Linked DNA regions of Drosophila melanogaster. The protein of the gene in region 2 purifies or fractionates together with the protein of the main gene of each other region. This does not show direct contact. Each region holds a gene or a part of one and is shown on either strand. Other genes may lie near its edges.

Region 1 (5,590 bases), on a different chromosome or scaffold from region 2:
TTGTTTAGTTCTTAACACCCACTAGTACTAAATATATATTGGCTTATATAGTTTGCAATTGCTCGCAAACTATGCATTTCCCAAGTCAGTTCAAATGAAATGTGTTGATATAGATATAATACATTAATCCGCTGATCTTTTTAGGGGCATTTCCGATTCACTTAATTTCGCCCGGCGACTGGAGAAGGCCTAAAAAGGAAAAACTAACTGGCCAGCAGCAAACTTGGCAACTTGGACTTGGCAAGAGGGCCAGTGCTTGGCTCAGCTATAAAGTGGTTGCCGATGGAGGTGGTGGCGCTGCTGGGGGGAGCTGGTGGAGACGGTGGAGCTGCTGCTGCAGTGCGTCGCTTCCAGGCCACTTCACTTTATTTACCGTCACGCTCAGCGCGCTGCGGCGGCGGCATTAAGTGCGAAAACAAAGCCAACGCCATCGAACCGCTCCCGGCACCTCCTTATTTTTATGGCCGGTTTATTGAAAGGCCGCCAGGCCGCCGGGCAACGTGCAGCGTGCAACTTGCAACGTGCCATGTGCAAGCTACATGGCGAGAAAATGAGTGAAGGATACGACACAGCTGCAAACCTAGATTTCTAATTATCAATCTGATGCAGGTGCGAATCGCTTTCTATAAATTATATACATTAATACCTTAGAGATTATATTAATGTAATGCACTTAATGTTTTAAACTTGTTTTATTTTTAATTAATAGATTTTGTGAAATCTATTAAATTTATAAATTAAGGATGTAAATGATTTACATGAACTTTTTCGGAAGAAAATACATTTTTCAAAAAGTTGCAGGAGATTTTCTAATGCAATGTTCTCAAATTAATAAAATAAATTATAACGAGTATTAGAAATCCGCACGTAGCTAATCGCCTTAAGTTAGATAAATCTAATATAAACTTAGGTCTCTACATGTGAATTTATTTTTTTCCTGTGCACTCGCTGATAAAGAGCGTTGCGTAACCCGCCGATGATAGTAATGATGATGATGGTCAATGGCCATTGGCCAAGTAGGGAATACCACTTCCCACTTGACCAACTGCAGCAGCCGGAGCAGCGGAAATGCACGGCTTCAAAGACGCGGAAATGGCAATGACGGTGGATTGAGGAGGATGGATGGAGTAGGGTGGTGGAGGTGGTGGTAGTGGCATCCACAGCAGGTGTGGTAATCCGTAAAGCACTAAAGGCATTGGAAGCGCACAAATTTATTGGCGCAACTTGAGCGGAAAGGTGAGAACCGGGCGAGAAAAGAAAAACATATTGAAAAACGGATAAATCTGGGCGAAAACTTAGAGGAACAGGGAAGTGTGTTGCAACTAAGATTGAAAGGAGCGAAAGGAGCAGGCTAAGGAAGTTCGCTGTGCTCGGAATCGTCCATTAACATATAACAATTTATTCGAAAAGGGTAATTAAATAAATGCCAAAGGCGGAAAAGTCTGCCCCTAATAGCTCCTAAAGGGGACCATTAAAAAGTAATAGTATAAGCTGCTTATTTCCATGTGACAAATTTGATCAAAGAGACTCTTAAATCACATTTAAATGGTTCACGTATATTATATAAAGTAGTTGAAAAAAAAAAAACACAAAGGGGGGTTGGAAAAATGTATCCTAAATGAACAAAAATGGTGAATGTTAAGTAAATTCTTAAAATTATAATTTATATATAAATAAATTATATATAAATATAATATTATGATGCCTAAAAAATGCTTTTAAAATTTAAACAAAATCAATTGTTAGATCATACAGAGAAATATGTAGCATACATACTTTTATGTATTATTTTCAGTCAACGAACAATTATTATCAAGAAAAAGGAAATAAATGACTTGAGTTAATTAAACTATAGGTCCCTAGCTTATGGCATAGGACAAGAAGATTGTTAATTTATGACAAATAGCTCTTCATATATGGAGACAATTGAAAATATGTTTCACTGCGAAACAAATATTTTGAATTCCACGCATTGCGCGCCAAATGAAAGAGTGCAGCATTGCCAGCATCGAGCAAAATGCCCCATTGTTTACAAACAACTCTCTTTTCTCTTGCTGTTTCTGTTTTGCACTAATTTTCTGAGAGAGAAAATAAGGAAAAAGTAAAACCATCGGAAATTATCGTTATCGTTATCGTAAAACGTCTTCTTCTTCCAGGCCGCCCATTTATTATTGGTTTGATGGAAATCTTGGACAACTTTTGAAAATCGTGGCGCAGTGTGTTTATTATTGGACAACTTTTGAAAACCGTGCGCAGTGTGTTATGAAATCGCGACCGCGTGCGTGAGTCCAAAAATAGCTGGAAAATATTGGAAAATCAAGTGGCTGGAAAGCAAAACCTCGAAACGCAAAAATCCGCAACTTCAAAACTTCTGGCCCAAAGAGGTAACTCCCACTAAGAACTGCCCAATTTTGTTGTTGTTTTTTTTTGAGTCGTGTTGTTGTTGGCGCTGTCCAATGGACACGGGCATACATATTGTGTATTTTTAGAGCCCCCGCCGGCGTTACTTTTGCCCTTTTGCCCATCTGCCGGCCTTTGATAGATCGATATGTGGCACTCGCGGCGGGGGTGTCATGTGATTTTGTTTGCCGGCACCTTGCAGCGCCAACAAAAACGGCCACAACAGCAACAACAACACGGGCCAACAAACTTGTTTTCTGCAATTACGCAGCGAAAAACAAGATAAATTAGCTTAATCAGCGGTTGCCATTGGAAGTGCACGCACCGAGCGAGAAAAATATACGTAGCCTACTTTCGGGCCCACCCACAAATTGCTAGCTTTAGAAACATAAACACTGGGTACGCATAAAAAACTCAACGCGTGCCATTATTAACTTAACTTAACTATTCAGATAAAAATCCAATTATTGCGTGTTAATTGAGGAATATTCAAAAACTTGACACATGTGCATCAGATGAGAGTCCAGACAACATCTTTGTTGCCCGAGATTTAGATAAGGCTGTGCTATTTTCATTCTAAAATAAACTGAATAACAAAGGTTTTTATTTACACTCTAATAATACCCCTTAAATTTGCAAAATACTATAATCTATTCAGCTTTCAGTATAGTACAGATTTTATTATGTAGTGGCACCACCAAAGAGTTATTATTATTATTTAAAAAAAAACACCCAGTAACACTATTTCATATTGATCGGATTAATGTTCATGCAATCAAACTAATCAGTCTTATTCTGAGCAACTTAATAAGTATCAGGTATGTATGTACATATGCATTTGCATCAATATCAATAGAATTAAATCCCAAATCGCTTGATTGCTTTCCCACGCTGACAAACACACACACACCGATGCATTTTTTAGTTTGTTCCCACACACACACACGCACACACATGCTGTTTAAGTTGGCAATGAGAAACTTACGCCGTTTAACAAACACTTTGCAGTACCACCGCCAATTAACAAGCAGATCCGAAACAACAGACACCTTTAGATATCCAAATCACATTGCCCAAGTGGCAATCGTTAACGACTCTCGCCGACTGTCACTAAAATCGGGCGAAATACCCAAACACGGCCAGGGCAGCCAAACCGCCCCTTCAAGGATATACCCCATCCACATTGGTGCCCCAAATTGCCAGCGAAGCAGGAGGAACAAAGGCAACCGTAGGCTAAGTTGCTCCTATGCCAGTTTAGGCAGAATGCAGGCCACGCCCAGCGAAGATGCACAGCCGCAGGATCCGCTCAAGTCCTTCGAGAGGGACTTTTGCGACCTGCCGCCCTACCAAGTAAGTACACTGAGCGAAAGCGGCGGGAGAAAGCACACTCTTACGCTAGAAAACAATATTTTTCTCAATAAATGCACGTTTTTAAGCAAAAAACTTTCAAATGTTAAAATTACAAAATATCCAAAGAGTTTTGTAATATTTTTGTATATATGGTTTAAATTACCATGAACAGACGTTCTTTTTAATTGATGTGGGCATTAAGCATTGTAAAAACAATGTATACGTACATATATAATTTAAACATTATTTTTGTACACCTTTTCTATCTCAGTGTTGAAAAAGCAGGAGGTGAAGATGTAGCTAGACAGCAGCATATCAATCAGTTGCAGCAAAACTCATTAAACTTGTGCCAATTGCGTCAGTCAAAGAGGGTTGGCCAGAGTTGCCACCCCACTTCATTATTCAGCACTCTTTCCTTTGCATTCATATATTATTGTTTTTGTCCTTAGCACTTTGATTGCTTTGCCTGCACTGCCTGCGTTCTCAATTTTCAGCCTCATTCCCACTTCTCTACTTCAATTTTCCTACTTTAAAATTCGCAGCGTGTGTGTGAGTGTGTACGTGTGTGTTTTATGTGGTAGTAAACCGATCAGCCTACTCTCATTAATTTTCCGCTTTTCGACTACTTTCAGTGCGAGATGAGTGATTCTGCGCCCAATACCCCAGGACCCTGTTCGACATCGGCTCTGCCCAAAAAGTATTACCGCTATGCGGCCCACAGGTGAGTTGCCCAAAAAGAGTTGCCAAGTTACCGAAAAGTAGGTCACTTTTAATGGGAGAACCTGGGGAAGCCCAGTCCGAAGGAACAATAACGGTATAGAAATCCAATAAACAAAGCAGTGGAGAGCAAATCCAAAGCTAAGATTACTACACAGACAAAAAACGTTACTTAAGCTGTAAATATTCATTGTTAAAATTTAAAAGAAGCGAATTTCCAAAGGTATAGAAATCTATCGGAATACCACTAAAACTATCTTAGTTATTATAAAGACTTGTCAAAAAGGTTTGATATTATGATGTATATTTCTTAAACCTATTTTGCCCAGTGTAAGCGATGTTTTTACCTAAGAGAGATTTCTCGCATAAACCACGGTCAATGCCAAGTGCGAACGCTTTTCCACTGCCTTATCGTCTTATCTCGCAGCCAAAACAACAACAAGCGCAAAACAGCGACCAGCTAGTTAATCCACACGAATCGGGGACATTCGCTTGACAACCTGACGTTGATAGTGCCGCCCTCATTAGTCCAATTACGAATTCAGGGTATATAGGGCCAGGCTGTCCTGCTGTAAAGCACTAAAAATATCGCAAATTGGATGTGCGCCTTCGAAACGCTGTAAGGCAACCTGGCGTATGGGCAATAAAGTTGGGAACCAACTCACAGATATCAAACATAGCGTAATTCAACTTTTCAATTTAATGTATTTTTAAGCAGAGTTACTTAAAAATGCACATTGTTAGTTTACAAATCTAACAAATCAGAGATAATTCAATTATCTATTTTATATTATAATATGACATTATCTTGTAAGGTATTCACTTGTGAAGGAAACTATCCTTTTAAGCAATTATAGGGTATGCGGGTATTCGTGTTGTTATTCTACTTACGCCAGACGTCTCTTTTGCCATTTTTGTTTTTGCTGATTACAATATTTTGTGACGCTGTCCATTATCGCCCGGTTTTAGTGGCTTTTCGTCGGCGGGGGGGAGGAGGGGGTTGGCCCAACCAAAGGGGTGGTGGTGGGCGCCGCGGACGGGGCTGTCTGAATTGCTTGTTAGGCGTGAATGCAAGTAGATGCAAGTGAGTGGGCACTCGGAGCCACTCGAGTGTCAGCTGCAA
Region 2 (3,679 bases):
TATGTACTCATATATACAAATATCCATATAGACGGGGTATATGTAAAGTGGTCGTGTTGCAGCTGAATTCCCACTGCCGGCATTGAGCGAACAGCTGAGAGTCTGAGTCTCGTGCCGGTTGCCGATGCGGATTCGAGTCGCCGGCGATAAACAACTACAACAACAGCTGGCTGGCTGGCTGGCTGGCAGGGCCGCCTGGAAGCTACAAATCCGCTGTTGCCAGAGCTGGAGGATTGGCAAGCCGGCGTCGCGTAAACATGCGCAGTGACAGCGTCTGGGGCAACCCATACATATGGTATCTCCATATACATTTGTATCTACATACATACATACATACCCTGCCACACAGATGATGATGATATTGCTGGATTCGTATGTGGTTACATAGCCAAGTGCAAGCGATGGCAACCGGTTGAAAAGCTCCAAAATGCAAAAAACAACAACAACACCAACAACATCCAGACGGGGGCCAGACAGTGGAGACTTTGCTAAAAATTTACTGGGGCCCCGAACTCAGCTGCGGGATACAATTCTGTATGGCCATATATTATATTATATAGTATGTTTGTATTGATATGGTGTATCTGCCAGCTGCAGTCGGAAAAGAGCAAAAACCTTCAGAGATTGCTGCGTACGAGATGCCCCCTTGTACATACGATACATTCCCCATGTACATACACACTGGGTACTTGCTCCCATTTACCTAACCAAGGGGAAGAAATCCGCCGGACGAGCATGCTCGCACATTATGTGGCCACCTTTTTGAATAGACAACTTCCACTGCGTTGGCGTTGGATTGTCCAAGCCCTGGGCACCAAGAGTACTCTACTTCAGTGGAGGAGGAGTGGTGACAAGAAAATGGGGCCATAAATAAAAACTCGAATTATATAACAACCAGAGATTGAGTTCTATAGCAATGCCCATGTATTATATGGTTATTCAATCGCTACTGTAACAACAAATTGTAAACAAATTGTCATTTGATTTGGTTATTACGAAGTAATTCTGAATTCTAAACAATGTGTATATAAGCTGAATATTTATCAAGTTGTACCAAGCAAATGTGCAGCTAAATCTTACATACATACATATGTATTTGTCTTAAGAAATTGGTCAAATATAATAAAAGGTTACAGCCTCGTTTTCAATAAACCAAATATTGACTATTAGAATTTATTAAATGTTTTTAATGTTTTTTGGTTTATGTTTTCATCTATCGACCTTTGAAATTCAAAATAGTTGCATTACATTTTATTCAAATAATTTTTACATCCTTCGAATCCTTTATTGTATGAATGTACATATGTTCCAAATCGTATCATTTTTACATTTTCTTACTGATTGGAGTAATAATACGCTTACATCCCATGGGTTATTACCTACCCGGCATTAACCACTTATGTATTTTAATTAGATTTCCCCACTACAGAGCCCCATTCTTGGATATTAATTAAAGTTAATAGCTTAAATGCCAGGCCATAAAAAGAAGAACTGTTCTGCAGTCTCGAAGTTTCGCGAATTTACTCCATCCTTCGTGGAATATACTCCAACCTTCCTATCTGCTATGTATGTACATACATACGTGCTTACATACGTACATCTATACATACACATAATATTTGCCGGTGCTGATGCGACTTATCACTCCACCAGGCCTTTTCATTCCCACTCCCCTAGGAGATTGCTCATTTTCCATAGCGATACTCTCACTTTCAATGGCAGATAATGCGTAATTGCGGCAAATTCGAGAACTCTGCGATATTTTCAGCCCGAGAAGTTTCGTGTCCCTTCTCGATGTCGATGTTTGTGCCCCCTAGCACACAGACACGACGCGCACACACACAGCGCCGACGGGCGCACGCACACTACGATAGCGAGCGGTTGTATAAATAACCGGCACTTTCGTGCAACCGGCGTCAGTTGAATTCAAAAAGCCAAAGCGATAACAGCTAAAGCGAAAGTAACCTATCAACAAAAGAAGTTTATTCTTTGAAGGAGAATCATCTTGAAGCAATTAAAAAACAAAAATGGCAAATATTCCATTGTTGTTGAGCCTTGCCGACGATTTGGGCCGAATGTCGATGGTGCCCTTCTATGAGCCCTACTACTGCCAGCGCCAGAGGAATCCCTACTTGGCCCTGGTTGGACCGATGGAGCAGCAGCTGCGCCAGCTGGAGAAACAGGTGGGCGCCTCGTCGGGATCGTCGGGAGCCGTGTCGAAAATCGGAAAGGATGGCTTCCAGGTCTGCATGGATGTGTCGCACTTCAAGCCCAGCGAACTGGTGGTCAAAGTGCAGGACAACTCCGTCCTGGTGGAGGGCAACCATGAGGAGCGCGAAGATGACCATGGCTTCATCACTCGTCACTTTGTCCGCCGCTATGCTCTGCCACCCGGTTATGAGGCTGATAAGGTGGCCTCCACCTTGTCCTCCGATGGTGTCCTGACCATCAAGGTGCCCAAGCCACCGGCAATCGAGGATAAGGGCAACGAGCGCATCGTTCAGATCCAGCAGGTGGGACCCGCCCATCTCAATGTGAAGGAGAATCCCAAGGAGGCGGTGGAGCAGGACAATGGCAACGATAAGTAGAGGACTCGTTCCGAGAGATGCCCTGCATTATTTAACCATTATCAAAGTCATACATCTGTTTTATAAGCTGTAGTTATCCAAGGACACTTCACTCATACACAATAGCCATTAAGGGTGTCCTGCTTTAATCTTAGTTTGGAATATGTATTACTAAATTGGCGAAATTAATATTACCCATAAAAATAAATAACAAGTACACTTACTTATAATTGTGTTTGGTCTGTTTTTCTGGTTGGTTATGGGTTACTATTACTATTACTTTGGGAATTGTTTGGCTAGCTTGGCCCTTTTTCCTGTGATCCCGGTTTCTAGAATTTACTTTCTGCATTGTATATTGCATTGTTGTGTCACGTAAAATGGCATTTTTATTTAATTGTTGTTTGTGTACATAACTGACTTTTTACATTACTTCGGTAAAGAGACTTGAAGCTATGAATGTAAGGAACTTCAGTCAAGGTTAAATCCTTATGTAAAGCATGCATAAGTACATCATGTACATACATACGTACATAAGAATATACATCCCTTTTCACTCTCTTCTTTTTAATGAATTTCTGTCATCTCTACAAGAGATGTACGTTATGTACGTCCTTATAGCACGTACCTATGTACATGTATAAATTGAACTTCATTTTTGTATGTTACCGCAAATAATTACGTGCATGCACACATACACATACATATGTATGTATGCATGTAGTTTTGAAAATAATTATGTATTTTGGTTAACTGGTGAACCAAGAATAAAAAGATTCTATATACACATATACATATATATAGAAATGTATGCATATGTACATATAATAATCGAAACACTTGCAACAGACTGGCAATGATTTGCAAAATTTTCAATTGCCCCGTTTCCCACTTCGCGAAGCAGTGGCGAAAGCAACTGCAAAAATGTTTGCAACAAACAAAAGAACGGCAAACATGAGGAGCAGAACGAAGCGAGACAAGGGTTCAATGCACTTGTCCAATGAAAATACAAGCTCTGTTGCACTCTGAAAAGACAGCTTTTAAAAGAGCGATAAGAGAAGAAAATGCTTTAAATAAATACATATATCTGCATATATACGTACATGTACATACAT
Region 3 (4,890 bases), 2.7 Mb from region 2:
GAGCAGCGTCTCTACAAGATGAAAGCCAAGAATGAAGACCTTAAGCGAAAGATATTTAAGAGTCTTTATGGAGAAGGGTGAGTAACTTACAATAAAATTTCGATTTCGAACGGGTGTGTATTAAAACTTGACTCTCATGCAGTTCTGACGATGAGGAGCAGCCAGCAGAAGAGAAACCAGAAGTGACACCAGCTGAAGCGACAGCTCCAGCCGAAAATGGTCAAGTCTCGACAGAAGGTTTGTCCAAATCAAAGAGGAAACGCCTGAAACGTAAGGCTGCCGCAGCAGCAGCCAGTGCTCCTAAGGTTCTAAAAGAAGAAAGTGACTCCAAGGATCCAAAGGAAGCGGATGGATCTACTGAAGATGTCCAGGCAGAAAGTTCTAAGAAAAAAGTCGATACTCCCTCTAAAAAGGGCAAAGATGACGCAAATCAGGAAACTAAAAACAGTCCACAAAGCACGGAGAAAACGAAAAACAATAATGCCTTAAAAAATAACAAAAAAGAGCCTAAAAACGTGCAAAATGGATTCCAAAAACCCCAAAATCAAGCAAATAAAAGTGCAAAGACAAAGTCGAACCAACCATTTAAAACTACGGAAAGTGCGCCTGCAAAAGCAGAAAAATCAAATGGTAATAATCCTTTCAATAAGCCACAATCGAAATCCCAACAAAGGCAGGAACTGCCACCAATTCATAAAAATCAAGGTGGAAACAAAAAGGGACCGAGAAACGCTAACGGCACCAATCCCTTTAAGAAATCAAACCAAAAGCCAAGTGCACCCTTCCCAGCTAAGAAAACGAACAACTTTAAGGCGAAAAACAAGCAAAATAACAATAGTGGAATAACCGACGATCGATTAAAGGCATATGGCATAAATCCCAGAAAATTCCACAAGCGGGAAAAATATGGAAAAAAGGATAACTAAAGAGTTATGATAAATCTAAGAATAAAAGTTCATATATAGTTATACATTTTATAGTTACATTTTATGTACATATGATAACATATTAAAAACCAACACAGCACAATGAACTCTGATTTGATCAGTTATTCTGCGGCAGTCACGTCATCATCGGTGGCCACTCCATCATCATCATCATCATCGTCCTCGGTGCTCTTCATGCGATCCAATTGAAGACGCCGCTCTTGGATGCGAATGCATTTGGGGCAAATCATATTTTTGCGCGTGAGGCAAACTCGGTGGAAGATGGAATTGCACTGATCACACTTGATGCAGCCATCGTCGAAGGGAAAGATCACCTCGTTGTTGCTACAAATCTCGCAAATGTACGCTTGGGCAAGGCACATGGGGCAGGATCGTATGTGATCATTGAATGCCTTGAAAACTCCTTGCAGAAATTCGCTCAGCGCTCCAGATTCCACCTGGCTGAGATCACTTAGGGAATAGAACTCATTTGACTGGGCCAGATGTCGCCGGACACCCAGTTGCTGATCCACCAGCTTCAACTCGCTGGCAATCTTGCAGGCAGCCAGATAGTGGCGCATATGCACCAGATTTTGGCGAAGTTTCTTTACCGCACACAATTTTTCTACGAACACAAACAGCTTGGGATTGTCCTCCTCCAAGCGAATGAGCGGTTTATTTAGGAACAACCTAATCTCTTGGAGCGCCGTGCGCGACACTCTGCGTGGCGAAAAGTCCCAATTGTGGATAATGCGGGCTGGTATAAAGTTACTGTCGTTCCAGTTGCAGCGAGGGCAGTAGTACAATCCACTATAGTCGCATAGACGCGGCTCAATCCAGGTATTTTCTACGAGGAAGGAGTCTAATTATTCGGAACCAAAAGAGTAGCCTTAACTTACTTATATTTAGCATCGTCCCGCACTCGGCGCACTTGTATCCCTGGGAGGCGAGTCCGATTTCTGGACATATCTCCGAAATGGGATGCTGCCGCTCTGAAACCAGGACATGGGCACAAACCCTCTTCACGCCATCGATGCACTTCTGATGGACCAGGAATCCGCAATCGCTGCACACGTACGAGTTCTGCACCACACTCCAAATAATGGTGGTGCAGTGGTCACAGTAGTTCCTCTTGGCGGCTGCCTGCAGACGATTCCGTTTGCCATGATGCGGGTGATGGGGCACAAAATGATGACCCACCACAGCACGTATGGCATTCATAACTACCATGTCCGACGATAGGGAATGCTGCTCCTGGGCCTCCTCCAGCTCCTGCAGTGAGTATCGCAAATCTACCAGGTGCCGCACCAACCAGCGACGCTCCTCGCTGAGTTCCTCGCTCAGCAGGACGAGATCTCTGCAATGGGCGATGGCCGCCTGCAAATCCTGGATATTGGCATCGCTGGTGAAGATTAGGCGCCATTGCTCGCGCACCAAGGACGCGGGAATGGGCAACGCCCTGTACTCCGCACCTTGTGGACCACTTTCCTCGGAGCCTCCGGCCTCGGATCCAGATCCAGTGGAGCCAGAGCCTCCAAGGCCAACTGTTGATCCCAGCGTGGATGAGGCGTGTAACAGGTTGCTGGCGCTCTCGTTAATCAACTGCGCCACCGTGCCCGGAATGCTCGTGAGACTGTCCTTCCAGGAGCTCATTTTTGGGGAAGAACAACAAAACAAGTCTTTGTGTGTTTTTTTAGCGACCAGGGATGCGAGCAATTGGTGCAGATGAGCGAACTAGTTATCGTTCACGGGGCAAACTGCAGGTGGTTGTACGCATCCCTGGAATGCACCTTAATACAGTGAAAGAAAAAATGTGAGGGTTAATTATTTATAAATATTTTGAATTTAACTTTTAATATTTTTAAAATATGATACAATTTGAAACCATATTCTGAAATATGTCAAGCGTGGTTTGCATAAAGCAAATATTTTTGTTACCATATTTTACCATTTAATATTAAATTGTAATTTAAGAAATCTAACAATCTATTGTGTTTATTCCAGATAAAAATGCCTATTTTTAACTTGAAAATTCGTCTGCTAAAAACTGTAGGCTTTAAAACTAGTATCAATAAGCCCTTTATTCTATTGTTCCTTCTATTTACATATATTCTGTAAGTAGAGGAAAATAACTAGAAAACCAAAAATATATTTTGAAAAATTGAAAAGAGAGTGACTTGTGTTGAATACGTTTATTGTTCGATGGTCACAAGGTGGACTGACAAGCTGGGTAAAAATTGAGTTAAATTACGATCTCTATGGGGTAAGTGGATGCAGACAAAGATATAACAAGGAAAACATATGTAATCTATCCAATATCGTTGGTTCGTTTTGGGGTTCGTATTCGTTGGGTCCAGGATCTAGACCACATTGGTGTGCTCGTCGCGATGGAAGATCTTCACGTCGACGAACTTGAAGTTGTGGACATCGAAGTAGTAGTCATGCTTCACCGGCCTGTTGAAGGGGAAACCGAAGGGCAGGGCGTCCACGTAGCGGGAACCGTGTCCCACGCCGCAGCTGACCACCGGATCGTAGCCAGTGAACTGGGCAACCTCGGGCTGGTGGTACGGGTAGACCATGTAGAAGAACTGGAACACCTGGCCGCCCTTCTTGCCGCGCGGCAGCATCATTCGGTTGGGCACGCCGCAATGGGCCTCCGACTGATCCAGCTTGAACTTGTAGTCACTGTTGGTGGCGTCCATCAGCTTCTGGTAGAGCTCCAGGTAGGTGGTGCGATCGTTCACCCAGAAGGAGAAGTCACCGCTGGCGCGCTTGATGTGGTTAACGCCCGCCTCCAGATGCACCTTGAAGTGCTCCAGCTCGAAGAAGTTCTGGTAGTTGTGCTCCAGTGGGATCTCGTGTCCGTGCTCATCGTACTTGGGTCCAATGAAGACCTTCACAACGGCATCCTGAGCCTTGTCCGAGGTCACGTCCAGGGTGAACTCGAAGGGCTTGTGGTTGAGACGCTGCTGGCGGGCCTTGATCACATAGCTGGATCCCTTGTAGTGGGAGTTCCTGCCGAAGGTGTACAACGGATCGGCGGATCCCTCAACGGCGGGCTCCACATTGACGGCATTGCTGATGTCCGAGTCGAAGTGCTCGAAGTAGGTGGTCAGACTTTCGGGCATGTGGACGGCATCGATGTGGACACCCTCGAAGGCGTAATCCTTCTTGTGGTACTCCGGATAGGTCTCCATCAGATGCCAGTAGTGGCTGACAATGGTCTTGTATACCTCGTAGAAGATCGGATCGCGCATAGAGGTGTCGTAGTGCATGAAAAGGCCAGGGAAGCTCTCGTCACCATGGCCATAATGGTGGCCCTCGTTCACAATGAAGCGGTACAGCTTGTCAAGACTGCCGTAGAACTTCTTGTCCACGCTGTCCGCATTGCCCTGGATGATGTTGCCCAGCACATTGATGGTCTCCACATCGAACTTCTCGTTCTTGTGGATCCAGTCCATGACACGCTGCGTGTACATCTCCACATGCTCGATGTGCTCGTAGTTGTGCTCGTGGTAGAAGCTGTGGTGATTCTCCCGGTGCCATTGGGGTACGCCGTAGTAGGTGCGCAGGTTACTGGCATAGCCGGATTCGGTTGGCACATACATGTTGAAAGCGGGCACCTCGCCGAGATCGTGGGACAGACGCTCCAGGTACCAACGGGCCAGCAATTGCCAGTGGACATACAGGTAGAGCTCACCGCGACGATCCTTGTTAAGGACATGCTCCTCGCCGCCCTTCGTCCAGAACGGATAGTCCAGATTGAAGTAGTAGTAGAAGGCATTGAAGCCAACATCCTCCAGGTAGTAGGCCAAATCGTGATCGTAGTTCAGGGAACCGTGCACGTTCGAATAGTTCGTACGGATCACCACGTTGTAGATGTTGTCCATCTGCTTGACATGATGGAAGCCGTGCATTTTGTAGTGCTCAGCCCATTCCAGTGCCTGGCTATCGAAGTAGCTCC

What was found.
Region 1: the proteins of Hsp23 (region 2) and Nt5b purify together in Drosophila melanogaster (affinity purification with mass spectrometry, with the first as the bait; one large-scale study listed by BioGRID). This does not show direct contact.
Region 3: the proteins of Hsp23 (region 2) and DEF8 purify together in Drosophila melanogaster (affinity purification with mass spectrometry, with the first as the bait; one large-scale study listed by BioGRID). This does not show direct contact.

The regions. Positions count from the first base shown.
Region 1 is NC_004354.4:18,406,678-18,412,267, reverse strand, and holds the start of Nt5b (5' nucleotidase B), read left to right. Parts: upstream 1-2,123; 5' UTR 2,124-2,384; intron 2,385-3,089; 5' UTR 3,090-3,218; intron 3,219-3,325; 5' UTR 3,326-3,372; coding exon 3,373-3,750; intron 3,751-4,382; coding exon 4,383-4,471; intron 4,472-5,590.
Region 2 is NT_037436.4:9,379,971-9,383,649, forward strand, and holds Hsp23 (heat shock protein 23), read left to right. Parts: upstream 1-1,911; 5' UTR 1,912-2,027; coding exon 2,028-2,588; 3' UTR 2,589-2,795; downstream 2,796-3,679.
Region 3 is NT_037436.4:12,129,912-12,134,801, reverse strand, and holds DEF8 (differentially expressed in FDCP 8 homolog), read right to left. Parts: upstream 2,657-4,890; 5' UTR 2,580-2,656; coding exon 1,826-2,579; exon of another isoform or gene 1,774-1,825; coding exon 1,049-1,773; 3' UTR 968-1,048; downstream 1-967. Other genes in the region: CG5645 (uncharacterized protein), read left to right, coding at 1-77, 143-926; Lsp2 (larval serum protein 2), read right to left, coding at 3,287-4,890.